Linked DNA regions of Canis lupus familiaris. The protein of the gene in region 4 purifies or fractionates together with the protein of the main gene of each other region. This does not show direct contact. Links are inferred from orthologs where the notes say so. Each region holds a gene or a part of one and is shown on either strand. Other genes may lie near its edges.

What was found.
Region 1: the proteins of POLR3H (region 4) and POLR3G purify together in Homo sapiens (affinity purification with mass spectrometry; 5 studies listed by BioGRID and IntAct, with this or other methods). This does not show direct contact. The link is inferred for Canis lupus familiaris from reciprocal best matches to the Homo sapiens genes POLR3H and POLR3G.
Region 2: the proteins of POLR3H (region 4) and POLR1D purify together in Homo sapiens (affinity purification with mass spectrometry; 6 studies listed by BioGRID and IntAct, with this or other methods). This does not show direct contact. The link is inferred for Canis lupus familiaris from reciprocal best matches to the Homo sapiens genes POLR3H and POLR1D.
Region 3: the proteins of POLR3H (region 4) and POLR3F purify together in Homo sapiens (affinity purification with mass spectrometry; 4 studies listed by BioGRID and IntAct, with this or other methods). This does not show direct contact. The link is inferred for Canis lupus familiaris from reciprocal best matches to the Homo sapiens genes POLR3H and POLR3F.
Region 5: the proteins of POLR3H (region 4) and POLR2E purify together in Homo sapiens (affinity purification with mass spectrometry; 6 studies listed by BioGRID and IntAct, counting the BioPlex papers as one, with this or other methods). This does not show direct contact. The link is inferred for Canis lupus familiaris from reciprocal best matches to the Homo sapiens genes POLR3H and POLR2E.
Region 6: the proteins of POLR3H (region 4) and POLR3C purify together in Homo sapiens (affinity purification with mass spectrometry; 5 studies listed by BioGRID and IntAct, with this or other methods). This does not show direct contact. The link is inferred for Canis lupus familiaris from reciprocal best matches to the Homo sapiens genes POLR3H and POLR3C.
Region 7: the proteins of POLR3H (region 4) and POLR3D purify together in Homo sapiens (affinity purification with mass spectrometry; 6 studies listed by BioGRID and IntAct, counting the BioPlex papers as one, with this or other methods). This does not show direct contact. The link is inferred for Canis lupus familiaris from reciprocal best matches to the Homo sapiens genes POLR3H and POLR3D.

The regions. Positions count from the first base shown.
Region 1 is NC_049224.1:18,660,493-18,664,708, forward strand, and holds the start of POLR3G (DNA-directed RNA polymerase III subunit RPC7), read right to left. Parts: upstream 2,801-4,216; 5' UTR 2,680-2,800; exon of another isoform or gene 2,664-2,679; intron 1-2,663. Other genes in the region: CETN3 (centrin-3), read left to right, coding at 2,804-2,820. UniProt on the Homo sapiens protein: DNA-dependent RNA polymerase catalyzes the transcription of DNA into RNA using the four ribonucleoside triphosphates as substrates.
Region 2 is NC_049246.1:12,035,176-12,038,675, forward strand, and holds part of POLR1D (protein POLR1D), read right to left. Parts: intron 2,216-3,500; coding exon 2,045-2,215; intron 1-2,044.
Region 3 is NC_049245.1:5,108,282-5,111,781, reverse strand, and holds part of POLR3F (DNA-directed RNA polymerase III subunit RPC6), read left to right. Parts: intron 1-2,843; coding exon 2,844-2,987; intron 2,988-3,199; coding exon 3,200-3,307; intron 3,308-3,500. UniProt on the Homo sapiens protein: DNA-dependent RNA polymerase catalyzes the transcription of DNA into RNA using the four ribonucleoside triphosphates as substrates.
Region 4 is NC_049231.1:24,684,225-24,688,463, reverse strand, and holds the start of POLR3H (DNA-directed RNA polymerase III subunit RPC8), read right to left. Parts: upstream 2,801-4,239; 5' UTR 2,585-2,800; intron 2,486-2,584; 5' UTR 2,468-2,485; coding exon 2,357-2,467; intron 1-2,356.
Region 5 is NC_049241.1:58,128,573-58,132,629, reverse strand, and holds the start of POLR2E (DNA-directed RNA polymerases I, II, and III subunit RPABC1), read right to left. Parts: upstream 2,801-4,057; 5' UTR 2,724-2,800; coding exon 2,667-2,723; intron 2,444-2,666; coding exon 2,269-2,443; intron 1,023-2,268; coding exon 907-1,022; intron 495-906; coding exon 414-494; intron 1-413. UniProt on the Homo sapiens protein: DNA-dependent RNA polymerase catalyzes the transcription of DNA into RNA using the four ribonucleoside triphosphates as substrates.
Region 6 is NC_049238.1:59,294,372-59,297,871, reverse strand, and holds part of POLR3C (DNA-directed RNA polymerase III subunit RPC3), read right to left. Parts: intron 3,363-3,500; coding exon 3,107-3,362; intron 2,997-3,106; coding exon 2,811-2,996; intron 1,766-2,810; coding exon 1,677-1,765; intron 670-1,676; coding exon 565-669; intron 432-564; coding exon 339-431; intron 1-338. UniProt on the Homo sapiens protein: DNA-dependent RNA polymerase catalyzes the transcription of DNA into RNA using the four ribonucleoside triphosphates as substrates.
Region 7 is NC_049246.1:35,178,361-35,180,620, forward strand, and holds part of POLR3D (DNA-directed RNA polymerase III subunit RPC4), read right to left. Parts: intron 2,164-2,260; coding exon 1,995-2,163; intron 1,643-1,994; coding exon 1,377-1,642; intron 926-1,376; coding exon 773-925; intron 610-772; coding exon 487-609; 3' UTR 1-486. UniProt on the Homo sapiens protein: DNA-dependent RNA polymerase catalyzes the transcription of DNA into RNA using the four ribonucleoside triphosphates as substrates.

The DNA.
Region 1 (4,216 bases), on a different chromosome or scaffold from region 4:
GTCTCTTTTTGGATGTTTAGCTAATCTCCTTAATCCAGAATTATGATTAATTAATACAGATTTGTATTTTGAATCATCCCTTTGCATTTTAAAAATAAACTCTATTTGGTTATAGTGAAATGTTCCCTTAAGACAATCCCAAATTGATTTTGTCAACATCTAAAATTTTTGCACATATGTTCATAGCGAACATGAAACATGAGCTTATAAAATGGTGAGTAACATGCACCCTCTTTTTTTAAATTTTGTTTATTTATTCATGAGAAAGAGAGAGACAGAGACAGAGACAGAGACACAGGCAGAGGGAGAAGCAGGCTCCATGCAGGAAGCCTGACATGGGACTTGAATCCTGAGTCTCCAGGATCACGACCTGGGCCGAAAGCAGGCGCTTAACTGCTAAGCCACCCGGGCATCCCAACATGTACCCTCTTATCATGGAGCATACAGTCAGTGATATTAAATGCTTTAAATGTTCTCTGTGCAAGCTTCAAAATTTAAGTTCTTCATCATACTTTGAATTTAAAGCACCAGAATTAGTTCCTTGGGAATTTTTATGAATTCAAAGTTGTTTGGTGTTTTTTTCTTTTTTATTTAAGTAATCTCTACAGCCAACGTGGGGCTTGAATCCACGACCCCAAGATCAAGAGTTGCATGCTCCTGCAACTGAGCCAGCCAGGCGCCTGCTCCTCATGAATTTTTAAACTCACCCAGAACTCTGAGTGGGTTGGACGCCTTTTTATTTTACAGCATGGAATTGTGGCATCATCCTATCATTCAGTTCTATCTATAGTTATCGACCTAATTCAGTTTTCTATCTTTTTTGAGTCATCTGTTTCCCTTGGAAAGTGACTATTTCATTTCAATATTAAAATTCATTGGCAGCATGAAGTCGTATAAAGTACTTTAATAATTTGTAAACCTCCCTCTTGTTATTTTTTTAAAATAAGCTTTATGCCCAACGTGGGGCTTGAACTCACAACCCAGATATCGAGAGATGCATGCCCTACAGACTTATCCAGCCAGGTGCCCCAACCTTCCTTTTAAACTACCAAAAACCGTATTAGTGGCAATATTACCTTTCCTTTTCGAGTCAACAGTGATTTATAGAAATACTTTAAAAGGTTAGGTGTTCTAATTTTGTTTTTTTTTTTTTTTGGGGGGGGGTTTCCTTTAACCTTTAATTTTTAGAGTTACACCATCATACTAGTTTTACCTGTCCAAATTTAGTTCATCCTTCTAAGCCTAACATATAGGCCAAATCCTTCAAGAAGACTTTCTTCTGTCCTACTGGTTCTCTCCCTTCTTTAAACATATATATATATATATGTTTATATAATAAAAATATATACCTAAACACATATATAAATATATACATAAACATATATATATATATTTATTTATTTATGATAGTCACACACAGAGAGAGGCAGAGACATAGGCAGAGGGAGAAGCAGGCTCCATGCACCGGGAGCCCGACATGGGATTCGATCCCGGGTCTCCAGGATCGTGCCCTGGGCCAAAGGCAGGCGCCAAACCGCTGCGCCACCCAGGGATCCCAACATAAACATGTGTATTAAATATATAAACATGTTTATACGTATAAACATATTTATATATAAACATATATAAAAACATATATAAACATATATATGTTGAGGATATATATATATATATATATATATCCTTTATACATAGCCCATAGTGTTTATACATCTTCCCCCTTACCCTGCCTCAACGCCATATTCAGGCTATTTCACTCCTTTATAAGGGTTACAACTTAGTTCAGTGATTTGTGGGTTTTCACAGCAAGATCCCACCCAACGCAACAAATATTCATTGAGCGCCTGTGCATCAGGCACCGTATCAGGCACTGGGATCCGCGTTAAATGAAAGATACCATCCTGCACTTGAAGAAAGCCTAGTAGGAGTGATGAACAAGTAAACAAATTACCCAGGTGAGCTTCAAGAACTTAGTTTGGAGCTTAAGATAATATAACGTGTATAAGCAGCTTCCAACCCTGTAAAACAAAGGATGCAAGAGAACAGATCCCTTCAGGGAGGGAGAAGGGAGCTAAGGTACCGTCAAGTGCCGCTTTACCGTAAGTAGCCTAATAATCCAACCCATTAGATATACAATCTATAAGCGACAGCACCTGCCTTAAAAGCACGTGGGATTGTAAGGGGGAAAAAAATGCAAATTCATACCTACTAAAATCAGAATTGGGAGGACGGGACGTTTAAATCTGCGTTTTAAACAAACTCCCCATGGACTCAGGCCACCCAAGGTTTTAGAACACAGCGCAGTCAAATTCGGCAGGCCTCATTCCCCAGCCGCTCCCTCCCTTCGGCTAAGGAGGCTGGCCCCGCGGCGCGCCTCTCCTCCCTCCCTCCCTTCTCCCCCGGAGCCGTCCATCTCGTCGGCGGTCACCCAGCGGGAGGCAAGGTGCAGCCACCTACCGCCCAAACTACCACGCAGACACCTGGACCCTCGCTCCGCAAAGGATTCCGGGAAACCTCAACAAGCCAATAAAGGGCGGGGAGGAGGGGCAGAAGAAGAGGGACGAGCGGCTTCTTTGATTGACGCGAAGCACGCCCAATGAGAGCAGAGGACCAGGGACGCTTCCGCCTCAATGGGCGGGCTGTTAGCAACGTCAACCAATCCGACTCCGAAGCGTCTACCTTGTGGGAGGTCCTTGAGGCCGCTGAGGTCGTTGGTGTCTGTTGAACGGCTTGTGGAAGTCGTGCTGCCTTGGGCAGGGCGTTAAAGTCGTTCTCGAGGGGAACGTCTCTGTCCGAAGAGAAAATGAGTTTAGCTCTGAGGTCGGTAATGAGGAGGCCGCAATGCCCTCCACACCTCGCAGCGGGCCCCAGGGCTGGCGTGTGTAGAAGGGAGGTAGCTGGGCCGAGGCGAGCTGGAAGGGGATGCATTTTGGGATGAGGGCGAGGAGCCTCGGCCAGCCTTCCTGGCTCGGATTCCTCACCCTGGGGGCCCTGGTGCTCCGCAGGTGAGGAGTCCCGTGCATTTGTGCCGAGGTAGTTAGCGTCTGTATCAGCGCGTCGGGCTTTGCACCACCGAGGAGATGGGTTTCTAGTTGGGAGGAGGGAGTGAAATATCGCGATGCTTCTTCTCGCGGTGTTTCTCCGCGAAGTCAGGCCGGGGAGCCTCCCTGGGTTCAGCTCCGCCCTCCGGGTCTCCGGCCCCTGCAGCCCCTGCAGCCCCTGCAGCCCCTGCAGCCCCTGCAGCCCCTGCAGCCCCTGCAGCCCCTGCAGCCCCTGCAGCCCCTGCAGCCCCTGCAGCCGTCAGACCGAGCTATAAATTTTGGAAAGAGCTTTAAACTCTTCCTTGCTCTTATCCTGGGGCCCTGCTTTAAGATATAACGGGCGACCCATATAAATGACTTTAATTGATTTCTCAAAAAAAAATTTTTTTTTAGTTTTGTTTACCTTTCATTGACTTCCAATCTCTAACCCCGTTCGTTGCCCCCAGCAGCAGCAGCACCTAGATGTTTTTACACGTTGCACCTTAAAAAAAAAAAAAAAAAAAAAAAAAAAAAAGGTGGTTACGCCTTTCTGAACAGGTGCGGCTTTGGGTTGGGAGATGATGGTGGCAGCCCTGCCTCGACCCCGTGGCGGGTCCTGCTGTTGACCTGGCCGTCCAGAGAAGGTGACCGCGGGGACTGGGGTCCCTGTTCGCGCGAAGTCAGGTGTCTTGTGAAAGGTTGTCCCCCCGCTCTGTTTATTACTATAGGTCTCCTGGTCATCTTCTGATCGTCTGTCTCTTGACGGTTTTGTGGTAGGTTTTTAGAAAGCAAAACACAGGCAAATAGGTAAGGTGTTTTTATTAAATAAAATCAACTAGGCTTTACATTTCAAAGTGTTAGGAAATTGGTTTCAAACTTCTTGTACGGATGTTGCGGCACCATTCGAAATTTTGGAACACTAAGATGAGTATCTCTTAAGACATACCTGGCTTTTTTTTTTTTTTTTCCTTTTTTTTTTAACATTTATTTATTCTTGAGAGTTAGAGAGGCAGAGACACAGGCAGATGGAGAAGCAAGCTCCAATGCAGGGAGCCCGGTGCAGGGACTCGATCCCGGGACCCCAGGGTCACGCCCTGGACTGAAGGCAGGTGCTCAACCGCTGGGCCACCCAGGGATCCCCATTTCTGCCTTTTTAAATAAAATCTACTTTCAAGAAATTTCCAGGATTTAGGAGA
Region 2 (3,500 bases), on a different chromosome or scaffold from region 4:
CAGCTGGTACATGCTGAAGGAATGTTAACGGATGATAATAGCAGCTGAAATAGAACCCAAGTGGGAATGCAAATCTGGTCAAAATCATCTTAAATTCCAGAGTCAAGCAAATTAGTTTGGAGTCATCTGGGTCTTATGTTTCTTTTTACTCACAGAAATCAACCGAGAGCTAACTGGCTCCATCAGTATACAGAAAGGGTAGCATGAAAACCAATGTACCTGAAATCAAACCACAAATTGAGAATTGGCAAATTAAATAATGGAGAACATGAGAAAATGAGATCTTTCAAAGAATCAAATCAGAAAAGCTACACGTCAAATAGTTGTACAAAAAAGACACAGAGGGGAAAAAAGACAGAGTCTGATGAATTAGTACAAGGCAGCTGCTGTGGTGCTAATGTTCCGTTTTGTGATTGAAGTGCTGGTTTCATAGGTACATTCACTTGACTACTTATCAGGCTGCATGCTTAGGATTTGTGCACTTTTCTATATGTATAATTATAGTGAAAGAAAGAAAGAAAGAAAGAAGCAAGAAAGAAAAAGAACACCACAAAGAACGAAACAAAAAAGAAGAAAGAACCTAAATAAAGCCACCCTAAATCCCTACCGAAGCACGCCCTCCCCATCCCCACTCCCTGAAATACCGTCCAGGCCTTCCTTCTTGAAGGAAGGAAGGAAGGAAGGAAGGAAGGAAGGAAGAAGGAAGAAAGGAAGAAGAAAGAAAAGATGGGACACCTGGGTGGCTCAGCGGCTGAGCATCAGCCTTTGGCTCAGGGCATGATCCCGCAGTTTTGGGATCAGTTCCCACATCGGGCTCCCTGTGAGGAGCCTGCTTCTCCCTCTGCCTATGTCTCTGCCTTCTCTCTGTGTCTGTCATGAATAAATAAATAAAATCTTTAAAAAAAATTACTAAAAAAAAGTTACCTTTGACCAACTAAATGTACAGTATCTGTCACATCATGGATGGGAAAAGCGGTTCAAATATGGCAATTAAGTCATGGAAGACAGGCTGAGGGTCTTGTGTTTAAACAAGTATAACTTGGTGACAAGCACTGACTTGGAAATTGGGCACAAAGGAGTGCAATGACAGGCTGCTGCTGACCAGGAGGCCCCTGCCAGACCCAGCGTATCATCATCCATGCTGCAGGCCACCAGTTCATCCCCGAGCCATCCACATACAGCAGGGCACTGGGCAAAATTTTAAAAAAACTCAATGTCTTTCCATGGAGTGATGTTTTGAAGAAAAAAAAATGGAACAATTTACTTGATCTTAAGTAAGGATTTGATGTCAGACCACAGAACATTCTGATTAAAAAAAAAAAAACCAGGGACAGATGACTCAGATCACTGCTGGACATCTGCCTACAGGCTCATAACCACTCAGCAGTAATTAGCAGTGGAGTGACCATGTGGATTGGGAGAAACCATATGACAAAGTATGGGTTCTGTATTATTCAGTAATTTGATCATAGACACAGATGAAGAAATTTAGGCCATCTGTATTTCAGAAAACATCAAATTGTCTGGGTTCGCCTATCAGCTATACAGAAAGGTAAGAAAATTCAAATTGTGGGAAAGGTTTTTAAAGGTAAAACTCAAGAGTGACATTGAGATCATTTGGGATATGAAAATAATTATTTATAGATAAAAGATGAAAGCACAAGAAGTTAATTCTCAAGATGATGTTAAATTTGGCCAATCTCTCTTACATGCTCTGCATGATGATTTATATGGTGAGCAAGGCCTTTCCCTGGAGAGGCTTATAGTAGGCCCTGTATATCAAATAAAGACCTGTATGTATATATTAGAAATAAATATTGAGGGTGCCTGGGTGGCTCAGTCAGTTAAGCGTCTGCCTTAGGCTCAGGTCAGGGGCCCCACTTCTCCCTCTCCCTCTGCCATTCATTCCCCTTGCTTGTGCTCTCTGGCTCCATCTCTCCACTAAAAAAATAAATCTAAAAAAAAAAAGAAGAAGAAGAAAGAAAGAAAAAGAAATATTGGATTACTTAGGGGAACGTAGAGAGGGAGCCTCAATATATCTGACCTAGAGCTCAGTAGACTGGTCCTCTTCACCCTAGTTTTCCCTACGTCTGGCACATGGTAGGTCCTCAGTTGAGATCTGGTCAATGAATGGATTCTGGGTGTGAGTAGGACAGGACAACGATGCACAGATTTACAAGTAAAACTGCTGTATCTGTAGCTGGAGGAGGAGATGCTGGGAGAGATGGAAAACACAAGACAAGGATGGTGAAGACACAACAGTGAGATCGTGTGTCACAGGGCAAAGAAATGCGATGAAATAAGCCAATGGCCCTGGGCAACTTGGGCCATCTTCTGTGGTGGCCAGACAGGAACAGCAGTGCCCTGGCACCGCAGCCCCGGTAGCATCAAGTATCAGGCCATAAAGGGAAAGCCTAGACGCGGACTGAAGACGCCAAGTCAGTGCTAAGAATGAGGGACAGCTGGAATCTGGCCAGTCTGGATGGAGGTCTTTCATCCTCTAGGGCTGCTTGAAAATCTCAGCAAGCTTTCATATCTAGAAAACACTTTTCTCTTTGTGGACTACCAGAGATAAATGACCTTTGTTCGGCTTCTGGTATCATTCTTTTGAGTCATTATGCGAATGAGTAAAGCCCACTTCACTCTGCTCCTTTCACATTCTCTAAACTCCATCTCTTAGTAGAGATGCTAAGTGCACTCTGAAATAAAAGTACTCAGCGTTAGGAGTCTGAGCATACTAATGGAGACTGCGGCGGTGGCTTACTGGCCTATGTCTGCAAGACCTCACCAGACAATATGTGCCCCGTGGGATTACCACATTCTTGGGTCTTAGCTTTTTGCAAGTCCAGGAGCCCAGTTGGGCTAGGTGTCCCCAGCATTCTATCTGCCATTACATGCACGGTGGAGGCCACATTCTCTGTCTAAACTGCTCTGCAGTCCAGCCACATACTTGTCACCAGACATCCAGATCACGTGTTACCTTCTCTGCAGGACTTTCCTGATTTCCTGTTTGCTCCATATTAGTAGATGTTACTACCACTCTTTTCTCTTAGGCCCACCAAAGGACAAATAAAGTCCCACAGACCATATTTCTTAATATTTACAAGTATTAAAATAAGCTAAAAACTATTAAATAAAAAATTCATTCCTCCTACCATGATAAATATACCTTCATTACAATAAAAATAAAAAACATGTGTAAAGCTGTTTTTTAAAATGACTGGAAGTCAGCAAAATACCAGAGGTGACGGTATTAACTTACTGCACACAGTGAGAACTGTTTATGAGTTGGTAATATTGATGAATACAGAAAGATACAGAAAGACAAACATTCATATGTATTTATTCCATAAAATTTATTTTCTTGCCCTGATTTCAGCAAAATCATTATACTTTTAAAATAAAGATTTTTACATAAGTTATGTATTTTTAAAAGAATTTATTTGTTTGAGAGGGAGAGAGAGCATGAGAGGAGGAGCTGAGGAGAGGGGCATAGGGAG
Region 3 (3,500 bases), on a different chromosome or scaffold from region 4:
TAAAGTGTCTCTTCTAGTATGTAGTATTTCTCCTCCTCATCCTATCCCACCCCTATTACCTCCTTCAGGGATTTCCATTCAGAGCTGGATCCATCAGGGACACCAGCTACTGACCCCATTAACCTAGGCAGCAGAGGAGCTGAGATTCCCCTAAACTAAAGTTTGTTTGTTTGTTTTTGTTTTTATTTTTATTTTTATTTTTATTTTTGATAGTCACACAGAGAGAGAGAAAGAGAGGCAGAGACACAGGCAGAGGGAGAAGCAGGCTCCATGCACCGGGAGCCCGATGTGGGATTCGATCCCGGGTCTCCAGGATCGCGCCCTGGGCCAAAGGCAGGCGCTATACCGCTGCGCCACCCAGGGATCCCAAAACTAAAGTTTGTTTGAATGCGGATTTCAGCAAATAAGATTTTGATATTCATTTATCAAATGATATTTTTGCCTTAACACTCCTTTATTTATTTATTTTAAAGACTTATTAAGGAGCACCTGGGTGGCTCATGGTTGAGCATCTGCCATTGACTCAGTTTGTGATCCTGGGGTCTTGGGATCAAGTCCCACATCAGGCTTCCCAGAGGGAGCCTGCTTCTCCTTCTGCCTATGTCTCTGCCTCTCTCTGTGTGTCTCTCATCAATAAATAAATAAAATCCTTAAAAATAAATAAAGGTTTTATTTATATTTAGAGAGAGAGAGAGAGCACAAGCACAGGAAGGGGCAGAGGGAGAGAATCTCAAGCCGACTCCATTCTGGACATGGACCCCAGTGCAAGGCTCAGTCTCACAACTCTTAGATCATTACCTGAGCCAAAATCAATAGCTGATGCTTCCAGCTGCACCACCCAGGCATCCCCCCTCCCTTATTTAGAATATTATCTACCCTCTGCATTTTTAATGGATAATTTCAAATATATACAAAAGTAGAAAAAATAATGAGTCCCCACACACTGAACACCTAGCTTCACTTTGCCAATCTTTCATCTCCATCTTTATTTTTAATAACAGCTTTATTGAGATAACTGACATACCAGAAAATTCATCTGTTTAAATTGTATAGTTTGGCAGTTTTTAGTATACTGACAGAGACATGCAACCATCACACTATTCTAATTCACACATTTTCATCACCTCTGAAATGTGACCCCACTAGGAGTCACTCCCCAGCCTTCCTGCCCGTAGGCCCTGACAACCACTGATGTAGTTTCTGTCTCTATAGATCTACGTATTCTGGACATTCCATATAAACTGTATCATACAATATATGGTCTTTTGTATTAGGCTTTTTTTATTCACATGATGTTTTCAAGTTTTCAAACTAAAGTAGTTTTAGATTATAGCCCAGTATAAAATAAATACTCATGAGTCCATATGGAAATGTTTAAATAAATAAATGATTCCAAAAATTCCTTAGTGAAGAGTATAGTAGTTTTGGCTTTTCAGTGGGTGAGACACAAAGAGTTAGCTGGGGTGGCTTAGTCAGGCCAATTTCCACTCAGGGTCACGAGATTAAGCCCTGCATCATACTCCACACTCAGTGAGGAGTCTGCTTGCCCTTGTCCCTCCCTTTGCTTGCTCTTTCTCTCTCTGTCAAAAGTAAATTTAAAAGATCTTTTAAAAAATAAATAAATGACATCTTCCCACGAGTAGATTGAGGCAAAATAGACAAACTTCCTGTGCAGAAGAATTCTAGGTAATTTAGGTGGATGGACACTCTACCCTCAAAGAAGTGGAATATAACTCCCACTCCTTAAGTGTGGGCTGAGCATGGTGATGTCCTTCCACATATGGAAAGACTAGGGAAAAAATGTCAGTTTATGATGGAGAAAACGGAGAAGCACTACTTCAAGCCATCTGATCAAGGTTAACCTCAATACTGAGAAGTCTTATCAGTAGTGATCAGTTATCACTTGGTGATCGAACGCCCTTGACAGGATGTGATGAGAAGGGCACTTCTCCGTGGTCTTTCTCCTAGAGTAGTCATAAGAAAAACATCAGGCAGGTCCCAGTCAAGAGATATCCTATAGAATACCTGACCAGTCATCCTCAGTACTGGCAAGTTATCAAAAGCAAGGAGAGTCTGAGAATTTGCCAATGGAACAGGACAAGTAAGTGTAATATGGTATCCTGAATAGGTTCTTGGACCAGAAAAAGGATATTAGGGAAAAACTAAAGAAACGTCAATGAAGTATAGACTTTAGTTAATAATGATATATCAATATTAGTTCATTAACTGTAATAAATGCAACCTACTAATGTAAGATGTTAAGAGGGGAAACTAAGCACAAGGTAAATGTACCATCTTTACACTAATTGTGTAAATCTAAAACTGCTCTAAAATAAAAGGTTTGAGGGGTGCCTGGGTGGCTCAGTCAGATAAGCATATGAGTCTTGATCTCAGCTCAGGTCATGATGTCAGAGTCATGAGATAGAGCCCAGAGTCAGGTTCCATGCTGGGTGTGGCACTGGTTAAGAGTCTCTTCCTCCCCATCTCCTTGCCCCTCACCCACCCCAGCTCAAAAGAAAGTAAAAAAATATATATATATAAAAAGTTTTGAGAGTTTCTTTAAATCTTAGTTTTGAAAGACTTGGTTACCTTTTTTTTTTTTTTTTAAGATTTTTAAATTTATTTTTACAGAAAGAGCGTGCATGTGCACCAGGGGTAGGGGAGGGGCAGAGGGAGAGAAGGAGACTCTTAGCAGGCTCCACACCCAGCAAGGAGCTAGACGCAGGGCTTGAACTCACAACCCTGAGACCAAGAGTCGAACACTTAACCGACTGAGCCACCCAGGTGCCCCTGCAAGACATGTTTATCTTATAACCACATCTGCTGTTAATGTTTTTTCCTAGGCCTCAAAAAAGAAAGTATATATGCTTTATAACTTGCAGCCGGACCGGTCTGTGACTGGTGGAGCCTGGTACAGTGACCAGGATTTTGAATCAGAATTTGTAGAGGTGCTTAACCAACAGTGTTTTAAATTCCTACAAACCAAGGTGAGGCATAATTAAGGAAACATCACTGCAAATTTTTTTTTAAAGTTACTTCATAAAGAATGTTTAATCTTGTATATCATATTTCACATAGGACATGAAAATACTCAAACCAGTAATTTTCACTAAACAATATATTCTGTTGATTTCACACTATATAAACTGTGTTCAGAAAATGCTAGTGTTCTTATTGAGATATATTTCTACCCTAAAAGGCAGAAACAGCTCGAGAAAGCAAACAGAATCCAATGATACAAAGAAATAGTTCATTTGCCTCATCACATGAAGTGTGGAAGTACATTTGTGAATTGGGGATCAGTAAGGTAAGAGCTCAATTTTTAATTTTCATCTTATTTTTTAAAAGTTACTCTTCATCATAGGGATATAGTTTACAATGTATTCTAAACATATTTGACCCAGACCCCTTTTCCAGGTGATACCTATGAACCTTCTGCAGAACCCATTTAGACAGGTGACTGTCATGCCATCAGGCACTGTGTGATCTGTGTGAACTTA
Region 4 (4,239 bases):
TCACCAGCCTGCTTACCTGCCACCAGTGTCATCACCTCCCAATACACACCCTGCAGGACTGTTCAAGGATTAGCAAGAAGCTCAGAGAACTCCAAGTCCGGGCCGGACCTCACCACAATGAGCCACAGAGCCTGGCTGCCTTGCACAAGATCTGTGCCCTTGGGAGGCCTGGATGGGATCGTGTCCCACATTGGGTACCTGCATGGAGCCTGCTTCTCCCTCTGCCTGTGTCTCCGCCTCTCTTTGTGTGTCTCTCATAATTAAATAAATAAAATCTTAAAAAAAAAAAAAAAAAAAAAGATCTGTGCCCTTGGCCAGACCACAGACCTCTTCTGTGCAGCTTCCTCTCAAATGATTCTAATATAAAAGACTCGTCTGAACAGGTCCCTGAAGGACCCATACCCCAAAGGGCTACATTCCCTTCTTGGACTTTTAACAGCTTTTTTTTTTTTAATTTATTTATTTATGATAGACACAGAGAGAGAGAGGCAGAAACACAGGAGGAGGGAGAAGCAGGCTCCATGCCAGGAGCCCGATGTGGGACTCGATCCCGGGACTCCAGGATCGCACCCTGGGCCAAAGGCAGGCGCTAAACCGCTGAGCCACCCAGGGATCCCCTTTTTTTTAAACAGTTTTTTTTTTTTTTTTTTTTTTTTTTTACTTTTTTTACCTTCTTGGACTTTTCACACCTTCTGTCACCACTATGCTCACACTTCATCCCTCCACTGACCCCCTCTACCTTCTACCTCACAACGTAACTGGAAGCCAATCACTAAGGACTTCATGAGTTCTCTCCACCAACAGCTGCAAACAACTCCCTTCCATGATCTCAGCCTCTATCTACAGAAGGGACTGGCCTCCTGTCTAAAGCCAGCCAACCTTCCTCTTGCTCCTTCTCAGCCTATCACCTCCTGCTATTCTACAGATGGAAATCAATACTGCCATGACATCCTGCAGGCCCCATGTGGTTTGGCTCCTGCCACCTTTCCAGCTTACTCTCCTCTCTTCCTCTCCAGGCCACACCAGTCCTCCTCCAGGTTATGATGGATGAAATATTCCCTCCTGCCACAGGGCCTTTACACATGCAGTTTCCTTTGCCTGCCCAACTCTTCTCTCTGCACAGCCCTTTCCCACTCTCAAAAATGAATCCCCAGGGTACCTGGGTAGCTCTGTTGGTGAAGCATCTGCTTTGAGCTCAGGTCATGATCCCAGGGTCCTAGGATTGAGTCCCAAGTCAGGCTCCCTGCTCAGCAGAGTGCTTCTCCCTCCCCCTCTGCCCCCCACCGTGCTTGTGCTTTCTCTCTCTTTTTCTCTTTCAAATAAATAAAATCTTCATTTTTTAAAAAGATTTTATTTATTTATTCATGAGACACAGAAAGAGAGAGAGAGAGAAAGAGGCAGAGACACAGGCAGAGGGGGAAGCAAGCTCCCTGCAGGGAGCCCGATGTGGGACTGGATCCCAGGACTCCAGGATCACGCCCTGGGCCAAAGGCAGGCGCTAAATTGCTGAGCAGTTTAGTCAGGCATCCCAAAATCTTCATTTTAAAAAATATATATATTTATTGGGACACCTGAGTGGCTCAGTGGTTGAGCGTCTGCCTTTGGCTCAGGGCATGATCCCAGATTCCTGGGATCGAGTCCCACATCGGGTTCCTTGCATAGAGCCTGCTTCTCCTCCCTCTGCCTGTGTCTCTGCCTCTTTCTGTGTCTATCATGAATCAATAAATAAAATCTTAAAAAAAAAGATATATTTAACAGAGAGAGAGAACGCGTGCGCTCCTTGCATGGAGCCTGCTTCTCCCTCTACCTCTGTGTCTCTCATGAATTAATAAACAAAATCTTAAAAAAAAAGAAAAGAATAAATCTCCTGATGGTTAACTCTATTTATTTGCGAGACAGAGACAGCGCAAGAGAGCATGAGCAGGGAGGAGAGGGAGAAGCAGACACCTCACTGAGCAGGGAGCTGAATGTGGGGCTCAATCCCAAGACCCTGCGATCAGGAGCTGAAGGCCGATCCTTCAGGGACGGAGCCACCCAGGGGCCCCTTAATGATGGTTAACTCTAAACCACTGTCCATCTTCACAGACACAGTGTGTGACAGCCATCATTATTTCCATTTTACAAATGGAAGCTGAGGCCCAGAGCGGGTAATCCAACAGGGTGCAATCTGGCATTTCCCCAGTTTCTGTTTTGACTCCAACATCCCACGTGCAGGTGAAGTAACTGAGCTCGGAGAAGTTAAGCTACTTGTCCAAGGCCAGGGTTTGGCGTGACCGGGGAGGCCTGCAGCGGGCAGGAGGGCAGCGCTGGGCCTCCCGTGCCAGGGCCTGTCAGCGACCCCGTGGGCCCCCGGTACCTTGTTGGCCAACTTTTTGTTCAGCTCCTCGGCAATGGAGTCGTTGAGCTTCCTCTCAAACTGCCACGGGGGGATCCGCACGGTGTCCACCATCTCCACCAGGACGAACATCGCGCCTGCGCCGGGGCCCTGGGGGCGGGAGGCTCAGTCACGCGCCGTGTGGGGCGGTGGGCGTTCCCGAACCCCCTCGGGCGCGTCCCCGCCGCTGAGCGCCCCCCACGCACACACCCAGGCCGGCGGAGGGGCTGCGCGGTGCGGCGCCGGGTACCCCGTGCGGGGCGTGTGCAGCCTCTGCAAACTGAGGAAACTGAGGCTCAGCAGGAGACGCCCTCGCTCCAGCGAGAGAGCGCGAGCACCCGCCGCACGACCCGGTCCCGCCACGCGCCACGCGCCGCCATGCACCGCGCTCCCACGCGCAGCCGACTTCGGGCGAGATTCCGAATCCCGTCGCTTCCGGAGAACAGACCAATAAGAAGCCTCTGCCCGCCCCCCAACGCGACGCGGCGCGACGTAGGGCGGGGCCTCCCCGTGGGCCCCCGCGGAGCCGGCCGCCCTTCGACCGCGCTTCCTGGTTGCTAGGCAACGTGGGCGCGATCCCGACCTCACCTGCCCGGCGGGGCTGTCGCTCTTCCTCTCCGTCCCGGGCGGGGCGGTGCGCTGCGCCCGGCCAGAGGGATCCTCTCAAAAGCCGGCACAGTTTGCTTAGACCCCTTCAGGACCCTGGAAGCGGGAGATTTATCTGGAAAGGAGCAGGCGGGACCTTTCTGGGGTGATAGGAATGTTTCCTATCTTCTTCTAGGGGGGTGGGTTACACAGGTGGGGGCCTGGCAGTCAGTAGGGCATGCAGCTCTTGTTAACAGGGTTGTGAGTTCAAGCCCTACATTGGGCATAGAGGTTACTTAAAAATAAAATCTTAAACAAAAAACAAAAAACAACGCATCAAACTTGACAGTTAAGATCGTTGCACTTAAGTAGGCAGATTACATCTCAATTGAAAAATGATCATTGGGGATCCCTGGGTGGCTCAGTGGTGGCTCGGCGGTTTAGCGCCTGCCTTGGGCCGGCCGAGGGCGTGATCCTGGGCTCTGGGGATCGAGTCCCACATGGGGCTCCCTGCCTGTACGGAGCCTGCTTCTCCTTCTGCCTGTGTCTCTGCCTCTATTTCTCTCTGTGTTTCTCATGAATATATAAATACATAATCTTAAAAAAAAGAAAGAAAAGAAAAGTGATCATGAATTGGACCAAAAAACAACCCCAGTACCTTCCCACTAAATTAATAATAAAGTCTGATACTTTGAAGCACCTGGCTGGCTCAGTCCATGGAGTGTGGGATGATCTCCAGGTTGTGGATTCGAGCCACACCTTGGGCGTAGAAATTACTTAAATAAATTGAGGCTCCTGGGTGGCTCAGTCAGTTAAGCATCTGACTTCAGCTCAGGTTATGATCTCAGGGTCCTGGGAAAGAGCTTTGTGTTGGGCTCCCTGCTCAACATGAGCAGTGTGAAGTCGGCTTCTCCCTCTCCTTCTCCCCACCCCTCCCCCCTGCTCGTGTGCTCTCTCTAATAACAAATAAATATCTTTTTTTTTAAGATTTTATTTATTTATTCATGAGAGATACACAGAGAGGCAGAGACACAGACAGAGGGAGGAGCAGGCTCCATGCAGGGGGCCCAATGCAGGACTCCATTCCAGGACCTGGGGATCACGACCTGAGCTGAAGGCAAACACTCAACCACTGAGTCACTCAGGCGCCCCAATAAATAAATATCTTAATAATAAATAAGTCCAGGGATCCCTGGGCGGCTCAGCGGTTTGATGCCTGCCTTTGGCCCAGGGCCCGGTCCTGGAATCCCGGGATCGAGTCCCGCATCGGGCTCCCTGCA
Region 5 (4,057 bases), on a different chromosome or scaffold from region 4:
TGAGTCTGTGGGTGTGACAGGCCCCACGGCGCCCCCACACGGGAAAGGGGAGCAGAGCGCCACAGGCTGTTTCCTTGGAGTCAACCATCCACCCAAGGGTCCCAGCTGCCACCCCACCCTGCTCCTGACTCCACGCCTGGGGGGAAGGAGCTATGGCCTGCAGGCGCCTGGGGGGGTATAACCTGGAGAGTGCAGGGGCCCCTGGACAGACCCCACCCCCTGCCCCCCAGCTGCCTGACTGCACACCTGGCAAGTGCCCAGGGCCTCACTGAGACTCCGGCTCTGCTTCCTCCTCCCCACAAAGTGGGAGCAGCGGCACCTGGTGCGTCCCCAGGCCCTCCCTGTGCTCGGGCAGGTGCCACCTCACCAGCCGTCCAGCCTCCCCTCCCGCAGACCCCCACTAAGGCCCTCACCTCGTGCTCCGTGATGTTGATGAGTAGCTCCTGCTGCAGAAACTGCTCCAGGATGTACTTGGGGGCCATGTCAACCAGGGACTGAAAGAGAGGCTGACCCTCACGCACAGCCAAGGCCCAAGACGCCGCCACCCCACCTCTCCCAGGGGCTGAGGGCAGGTGGGAGCCAAAGGGGGTTCCCACGTGTCAGGTCAGTAAGGCTCCTCTGGGAGGAAGAGACCACCCGACACAAACTGTGACACCTAACAAAATGCTCCTGCAGTTGTCCCTGTGCTGGTGTGACGTAGAGAACCCTGCAGGGACGAGCGCACAGAGCTGGCCCTCCGTCCCAAACAGCAGCCCCTCCTCGGACCTGTTAACCACAGGAATGCTGGCACCCATGCAGGGCACCTCCCTGCTCTGGCTTCTGCCCACACGGGAGAGCCGCTCCTTCTCAGATCCCCAGATCCTGGGGCCCATGAGGACGTGCGGCCAACACGAGCAGCGTGCCCACCTGCTTGGCGGAGGGAGTCATGCCCTGCTGTACCACAATGAGGGCCCGGGTGATGTTCTCCTCCTGCATCCGCTGGCAATACACCTTGATGGTCTTGATTCCCACTTTAGGCTCCTCTGGGGACAGAACACACGAGGTCTACACTGCAAGAGTCCCTCCTGCCCCAAGGGCCCTGCTCACTCACCTGCTCGTTCACTTCCACCCTGCTAGGCGCGCGGGCTCCAGCTTGACCTTGCCAAGGTGTAGCAGTGCCTCTCTGGACCAGCTCCCTCTTTCTAGGGCCCCAGGGAACCCACCAGGGTGCCAGTCCTCCCCCCCAGCCCCCACGGAGCTGATGGGTGCCCTGCATCTACCCACTTGGTGGATCCCTCCCTGGAAGCTGAATCTGGGGACCTACGTGGTGCAATGTCTGGAATCCCCAGATGAAGCAGCTGACCTGAAGGACCAAACCCCCTCCCTGCACAGCCACGGTGGGAACCCTCACGCTCACCACAGTACAGGGGCCAAGACCTGCGGGACCCTCTGAGCCTGGTGGAAGGTGAGCAACTGGGTGCCTGCTGCCAGGACGGGTGCGTGTGGTGCACCACATCTGCCCCATCACAGCACTCCCCTCGGACCCTTGCTCACCTGACGGGCAGCGTCAGGGACTGAGCTGTTTCCCACGGAATCCCCGTGTTACAATCCTAACCCCCGAGACCTCGGGTGCAACCGTACTTGGAACTGAGGTCTTTAAAGAGGAGATTCCACCAGGTTGTCAGGATGGACCTCAGTCAGACACAACAGCACAGACACACAGAGGCACGACCTCGGGAACTCATGGAGAAGACGGCCACCGGCACGCCAGGGAGAGGCCTCAGGGGGACCCAGCCCCGTGCACACCCTGGTCTCAGACGTCCTGCCTGCAGCCCCGGAAGAGGTCAGGCTGCTGCTGAAGCCGCCCGGTCTGCGGCGCCCAGTCGCGGCGGTCCAGGTGGACCAGCACGGCCGCTCAGTCCCATTCTGTGGCCCACTGGAGCACACGGGCGCCCCGGGCCCACTCCAGGGAGGGCCCTGCCACAGGCCGACCCACACACGGGGACGCTGTTTGCACGAGCACCAGGAGGGTCCCTCCTGCAAAGGTTTCCGACGCCCTTGCTTCTGGGCAGGGGGCTGGGCCCCCCGGGAGGCCTGCGACAATCCGGCTGCACTGAACGAACAGTCAGCGGGGAACAGAACCCAGGGCTCCCATCAGCACCCCGTGGCACCGTGCGCAGCAGGCTGGGCACTCGGGAGGGCGGGTGTAGACACCGTCCCTGGATGGCTGCACGAGGGCTGCGGACTCCTAGGGGTCACGCAGCCACCCAGGACCCACGCGACCCTCACCTGGAAAGAAGACAAACATCTGGTCGGTGGGGTCGTCGTTGTGGGCCACCAGCACCGTGAGGTCCGTGCGCCGGGGCCGCCCCTCGCTCGGCTTGTCCCCAAACTGGGCCTTGAACTCTTCCAGCGTCTGGTCCAGCTCATCCTGCGTCACCAGGTAGCCGCGGTCGTGGCACAGCTGCAGGGAGCACCAGCCGGGTGACCCCCGGGCTCAGAGGGCGGGGCGGGAGGGGCGCGGCCGGATGACGTCACCGCGGAGAAGGACGGACAGGGCCGCGGCCCGGCGCCTCCGAGCGCGTGGGGACCGCACAGGAAGGGGCCGCAGAGGCCGGGACGCACCCGCCGAGCGCGCCCGGAAGCTCCGAGCTGCGCCCGCCGCCGCCCTGACCGCGCGGGCTCACCTGCATGATGGTCTTGCGGATCTTCCACAGCCGGTACGTCTCCTCCTCGTCGTCCATGGCGGCCGCCGCTCGCAACCCGCGCGCCTGAGCCCGCGGCAGGGGCCCGCGCTGACTGCGCCTGCGCCGAGCCCTGCCAAGCCCCGCGCGGGGCTGCCCACAGCGAACGCCGGACTCCAGAGACCTTCGCGGGCGGCAGCGCCGAGGGCAGCCCGGGCCTTCTGCGAGCGGCGGTGGGCGGAGCCAGAGCCGAGCGAACGGGACCGCCCACTCTCGCCTCGGCAGTTGTCGCGGGGTTTCGGCCGCGGGGCCTGTCGGGAGTTGTGGTTTCCGCCCGATGCCCGTGTGGGTGGGGAGTTTGGAATCCGGAAGGGCGGAGGCGAGGTGTGGGCGGGGAAACTGAGGCCAGGGTGGGGTCAGCGGTCAGCTCGCCTCCCCGGGGCGCAGGGCATGTTGTCAGGCCCCCCACCAGGTACGCATCCCGCTGCTGGGCGTCGCCGCCGCCTTACTGCGCAGCAGCCTCGGGTCGCCCGGGTGGCTCCGTGGCTGAGCGTCCGCTCGGGGTGTGATCCCCGCATCGTGGGCTCGAGTCCCGCATCGGGTCCCGCAGGAGCCTGCCTCTCCCCCAGCGGTTCTCAGGAGTAAATAGTCTTAAAAAAAAAAAAAAAAAAAAGAAAGGCAGCCCGGGTGGCTCAGCGGTTTAGCACCGCCTGCAGCCCAGGGCGTGACCCTGGAGACCTGGAGTCCCACGTCGGGCTCCCTGCGTGGAGCCTGCTTCTCCCTCTGCCTGTGTCTCTGCCTCTCTCTCTCTCTCTTTCTCTCTCTGTCTCTCTGTCTCTGTCTCTCGAGAATTAAAAAAAAAAGCCTAAGCAACGGAGCCCCCCAGGCACCCCCTCCGCCAGCCCGTTTTTTCTTATCTGCCGTCTACACCCGTTTCTCCCTAGTCTGTCCGCCCTGGGCCGGCAGCTCCGCTCCTCCGTCCTGCCCCTTCTCCACATCCTGTCCATCCTGTCCGACTGCAAACCCTCCACCTTCAGAACTGCAGGCGCCGACGTGAGCCCCCATCTGTGGCCCTCTCCCTCCTCTCCCCCTCCCCCATCTCTCAGCTGAAATGCAGCAACAGCAAAGGAAAACCCCGGCTTTTCAAGGCAATCAACGAGGCCTCCCAGGTGTGCCCCAGGCTTGCCCCACGACAGCCTCTGACCTCCCCTCCCCCCTCCCCCGGGGCCTCCTGCAGCCAACGCAGCAGGCAAAGTGCAGCCCCAGGGCCTTTGCACACATTGCACCCTCTGGTGGATACGCCCTTCTTCTGACATTCCTACAGCTGCTCCCTCTCCTTTGACCTCTTCCTGCCAGCCCTCTCGCTCCCTGCCTTCCCTGAGTCCCTTGATTGT
Region 6 (3,500 bases), on a different chromosome or scaffold from region 4:
AAATTTAAGATACATAAAACTAGTATACTGAACAAAAGCAATACAAGAAGCCAAATGATGTTCTGAGTACCAACAAAGGTTCTCAGATTCCAGATAGTGGATTCTTAGAACAACTGGGAATAGCTGTACTTTGGCTAGGAGAATGGTTTAGGTTTTTTAAGGATGGATCCCCAGAGACCAATATTTCAGTACCTAACACTTGAAGAGAATCCCTGTCCCACCTCAAACAATAAAAACTCTTTCAAAGGCTCAGATCTCAACCTAATCCCAGGCTCTGTGTATAAGAATCATCACATCCGCAGTCTGTTAGAAAAGTAGTACAAGAACATGAAGATCACCTCATTGGAAGACAACGGCTGGGTGAAGGGGGCAGTAGAGGGAGTAGTAATCTCACTCATCCGAAGCATAGTCCGCACGATCTCACTGCTGGTCTGGGTTTGAAAAGTGAACTACAATTCAGAATTCACTCCACTGTGCTGACTCTGGCTATATGCCAATGGCTACATCTGGCAAATAAGTGAATGCTCCTGATTTGGGACACCGTCCCACCCACTTAGATACCACCTGGTCCATCCTGTTGGCAACTGCACTGACAATGGCTTGGTCACGGAAGTGCTGATGGAATCTGTCAAGGTTGGCCTGCCAATAAATCCCATCATCTGGAATGGGCTGAGGAGGAGAAAAGGATTAGAGAGAAACATTTAGATACCGTGAATATGGGGAAGAGTTTTCTGGCGAGGAGCTTGGATTTAACTGTTCACTATTTTTTTTCCTATTCAGTAGCAACCACGTGGGGTGGAAAAAAAAAAATCATTCAATCATGTGGATCAGGGCCTTGATGACACAAATTTACAATACCCAATTCAGATTCTCTAAACTCACCTCTATTTATTTATTCATTCATTCATTCATTCATTCATTCATTCATGAGAGACACAGAGAGAGAGGCAGAGACGTAGACAGAGGGAGAAGCAGGCTCCATGCAGGGAGCCTGATGCAGGACTCAATCCCAGAACTCCAGAATCATGCCCTGAGCCAAAGGCAGCCGCTCAACCACTGAGCCACCCAGGCATCCCTTAAACTCACCTCTGAATTTACCTAATCTTTCTCTATCTGAACTCTTCTCCAGTATCCTTAAATTTTCTATTTACCCCTCTCTTCCCACTCTCAGCACATGACCTTGCCTCTTATTTCAGAGAGAAAACAGAAGGCCCTTTTTTGGCATAAGATCTGACCTCTGTTTAATGATGAAGCCTCAGAAAGGAGAAAGTAATGGAGTTTACACTTTGTTAGTTCATTCTTGGTCAATATTGAATGAAGTTCATAATCCTACTAATCCTACTACTTTTTTTTTTTTATAAATCTTTTTTTTTAAATGTTTATTTATTTATTTATGATAGTCACACACAGAGAGAGAGAGAGAGAGAAAGAGAGAGAGAGGCAGAGACATAGGCAGAGGGAAAAGCAGGCTCCATGCACCCGGAGCCCGACGTGGGATTGGATCCCGGGTCTCCAGGATCACGCCGTGGGCCAAAGGCAGGTGCTAAACCGCTGTGCTACCCAGGGATCCCTAATCCTACTACTTCTCAATCAAGGACCTTGTAAATCTCTTGGGGCCTGTTACCTTTGTTATCTTTCTGCCTTGCCTTAGGGTGAGGACCCCTAAGCCCCATTACCTCTTTGTTATCTGTGTTGTGTTTTGGTCTCTTGGCCTTGGGCTCCCCAGCAGCATCTTCATCAGATGATCTTCTCCTTTTACCTTTCCCTGATAAATAAAACAGGCAAACAGTTATGCTACATCTCATATGAAGACAGGAAATCACTGAATCTGAGAGCAGGTTTCCCTCTATCCCAAGACATCTCCAGCTGCCTCTAGGTTAAAGTGGCTGGGGAGGCTGAGGAGCTCCAAGAAATTCGAAGTAATGATGAAGTCATTTGAAGCTCAACATATTCAAAAAAGAAAGTTCTAATCTTTCTACCTCAAACTGTTCCTGTTCCAAACGCTTCCTTTCAGTGAGTAGGACCATTCATCCTCCCCCCACATGCAAGTCAGACACACAAATGTCATTTAGTACTTCTGTCTCCTTTACCCTTTCTGTATCTAATTTTTCACTGGGTTTGTCTACATTTTACCTTTGCCCTATCCTATCTACAAGCAGGAAAATCTTTTAAAAATGCAAATTAGATCATGTCACTTCCTTTAAATCCTTTAGTAGTTTTCCTTTGCTCTTAGGATAAAGAACAGATGCTGTCTGTATAACGTCTTGTATGATCTAGCCCCTATCTTTCTATCCTCATCTCATGGCTCTCTTTGCTCACCATGCCTTAATTACACTGACCCATCTTTTACTTCCTCAAATATCCTATTTTTTTCTCATTGTACACTATTCCTTTTGTAAAAATATTTATCCTCTGTACTCCTTCATACATTACCTCACTGGTTAGTTCCTGCTTCTGTTTCAAATCTTAGCTCAACTGCTACTTTCTCAGAGAAGCGTGTGCTCTAAATCCTGAAAAATTTGGTTCCCTGTTACATATTTTCATAACATCTCATACTTTTCATTCATAGTACTAATCAGTTTCTTAGTTATACATCTATCTGATTATTTGAGTAATGTAACTCAAGTCTTTTTTATATTAGTCTTAAGCCCCAAAAGGTCAGGGACTTGTTTTTTCATTTTACACCACAGTATCTGGCATAGAGTAAATATTTGGTAACTGCTTGATCGATTCATTCACTAATTTAACAATCTTTGAAGAAGAATCCACAACCAGGGCAAATCATAGTTTCAGGGGTCAAAATTCCTTACCGATCAAGCTCAGTTTTGGAACCAGGTACATGTCCTTTTCACTGATCACAAGAATGGGGGCAGGTGGCAGTGGCCCTGGGTCTGAATTCTCAGTGGCAGGCACCCAGGGGCAACGCTGTACAAAGTGTGTGTCTGCTAGTCGCACAAATGTGTTTGATACCTCAGCATAGTCCATGGTCTTGCCATCTGTACAACAGGATGAAAGTGGCAGATGAGATTGCCTAAGTTAGCTGAAGTTCCAGTCCTGCAGCCAGCCAATCTACGCTTTTGCTAACAGCTATGAGTACAGTACTAACCCTCCATAGTCTCTGTGAGCCGGTCTGCCACTTTCTTCACAACAGCTGACATTGTCATTTTGCCATTCAATAGCAGCTCCTCAACAATGAGTTCTCCGGTGTCACTGTACAGTGTTTTGGCAGTATAGATGTACCGGGGATACCTAAGCATTCGCAATACGCGGCTGCACTGGGCTTCATACTCCACTACACCACGTTTGTGCACTTGATATATCACCAGGTTATGTTGGATAAGCACACAGAGGGCTTTTTTTACCTAGATAGGACGCAAAAGAAAGAAAGAAAAGATCTGAAGTCATAGCTCATTTTTGTTGCCAATTTTTGTCTAATAATTTACTAAGAGCTGGCTAAGGATCTCTGTGCTTCTTCCCTCCCTCCATTTGGATAAGCTATT
Region 7 (2,260 bases), on a different chromosome or scaffold from region 4:
AGTAACTGATGGAGCTGGGATTGAGCACTGAGTCCCAGACTCAAAATTCCCAGCTCTCTCTCCAACACTGCTTCTTGGGAAAGAGGAAGGAGTAAAAGCAGCAGCAGTCCTTACGCTTCCTACCCTGAGAACAAGACAGTCAGCAAGACAGGAGGAGCCTGGACTTTTCCATAGACCCTCCCCTCTCTACCTGGGGAGGGTGCAGTCACTCGAAGAGATAAGACATAAATATAAAAATAAATAGAAGGGACAAGTCCCCCAGCAGCAAGGATGTGCAGGATCCATGCTGTGGGAAGGCCACGGTGCCATTCACAGCTGCCGTGGGAGGAAGCCATGTGGGCCCTGTGGGGAAAACTGGGACAATGGCTGCCAAAGGCTGGAGTGGGTGGGCTAAACAGGCCCCTTCTGGGTCGCACAGATTTGAGAACAAAACGTCTGGAGCAGGCAGCCGTGGGCACAGTCACCATCATCCTCCATCTGCTCATTTTACCGGTGTTTGTGATCCAAGAGGGACTCAAAATCAGGGGAACATACAAGTTTGTGCTTTATGTGTCCCAGGACTGTCATCTCACCGGTCCTACTGTCGCCAAGGCCCACGGATACCAGCTCCTGCCAATCAACAGAAACAGCAATGAGAACCAAAACCATACAGCCCATTCCTCAGCCCTATGATTTAGGAGAATCCCAAGAATGCTTCTCCCTTAGTTAGCATGGACTCCTCAGCACTCCTTACCTCTTAAAGAGCCCCTACCATGACCCCACAGGCTCTCACCTGCAGGAAGGAGCAGGCGGTTCCCATCGTCACATCTAGAGTCACCTTGCCCAGGAGGAGCTGCACCTTTCCTGACTTGCGGATGAGCAGCTTGCCAACCTGACCCTCTGTCAAGTCAGCCAGGGTACAAGCATTCTCTGCCAGCCTGGCTTCCTGCGAAGAGAATCAGAAGATGGAAACAAGATAAGGAGCTTCTTCCTCCAGCCTGCATGAATGATACCGTTTCCAAAGGAAGAGGTCAGCAGCAAAGATTAGAATGAGCTCCCTAAGAGGGCCTTTCTTCACAGTTGCCTGCCATTGGCCAAACAACAAAACCCAAAGCAAACAAATGGACAAATAGACAAAATATTTATTACTGCTGACGCTGAGTGATGGTACATGAGAATTCATGTTCTCTCATCTGTGTATACACTAAATATTTCATTGTAAAAAGTAAAAATACGTAACAGGGGTTGAAGTACAAAGCCTCAAGCACCTTGTGGGTGGAATGAATGCGTATTATTCTGGCATTTCAGCTTGGGTGGCACCCCTTTGCTCCGCAACAGATGGCTGTTTCCTTTCCTGGCCCCCTCAGTGCTTCCACAGAACTCATCCATGCACATACCCGGTCTTTCTCCTGCTTTATGACCACCATCTGCCCATCCTCAGTCTGCACCTCTGTCTTGATAGGCTTGATGTCCTGAGTAGGTGGCTGGCCAGGGAGCGTGTCTGGCAGTTGAAGGAATAGCAGCTCTTCCTCCTGGGTCAGGCTCAGCTCCCTGAGCAACTCTGCCACAGATATGTCCTTTGGGAGGCCCGGGGTCTTTCTGGCTGTTCTGGGAGGAGCCTTCATCTTGGCCTCCTCCTCCTCATCTCGGGGCTCCTCTTTCACTGCCCAAGGAAACATAAATGGAAGAGCTATGAAGTAGCCATCTTGCAGTACCCATCCCTTCATTCCCATCTGCTTCATTGTCACTCAACCATGAAGCAGGAGGGAAGCACTGGTATGAAGAAGGGTCCAGGAGTTGTGTGGCTTATCAAAAAGGAGTATCTGAGGCTAGGCCCACGGATCCATGTCAGCATGAACTTTCTGAGAATGAGAATTTAGTGTCCCTGTTCAGGTCATGTACTTCACAACTGGAATGGGGGAGGACCCGCTTATGAGTCTGGGAGATTCATTCCTAGAGAGGATTCCTGGGGGGCAGCCACAGGGAAGGAGAGGAGACGTTAATGGACAGAGTACCTTTCACAACAGGTACATCCACCTCCATGTCCTCTTCCTTGGGGCCAGCCAGCCAAGGTTTAACATCTGGCTCTTCATTCTCTTCCTTAAAGAGCCACCCTGAGTGAGCCAGCGGCAGCTGCACAGGCATGTTTCGAGTGTCATTCCTCAGCCCAGGGTCATCGATGAACTACCAGGGAAGAGTCAGGGGGTCACATGGTCTGGCTAGCATGCACACATACCTGGACTGCAGCCCACCTGAGCTTTTTCTAACTGAAGATTCCTGC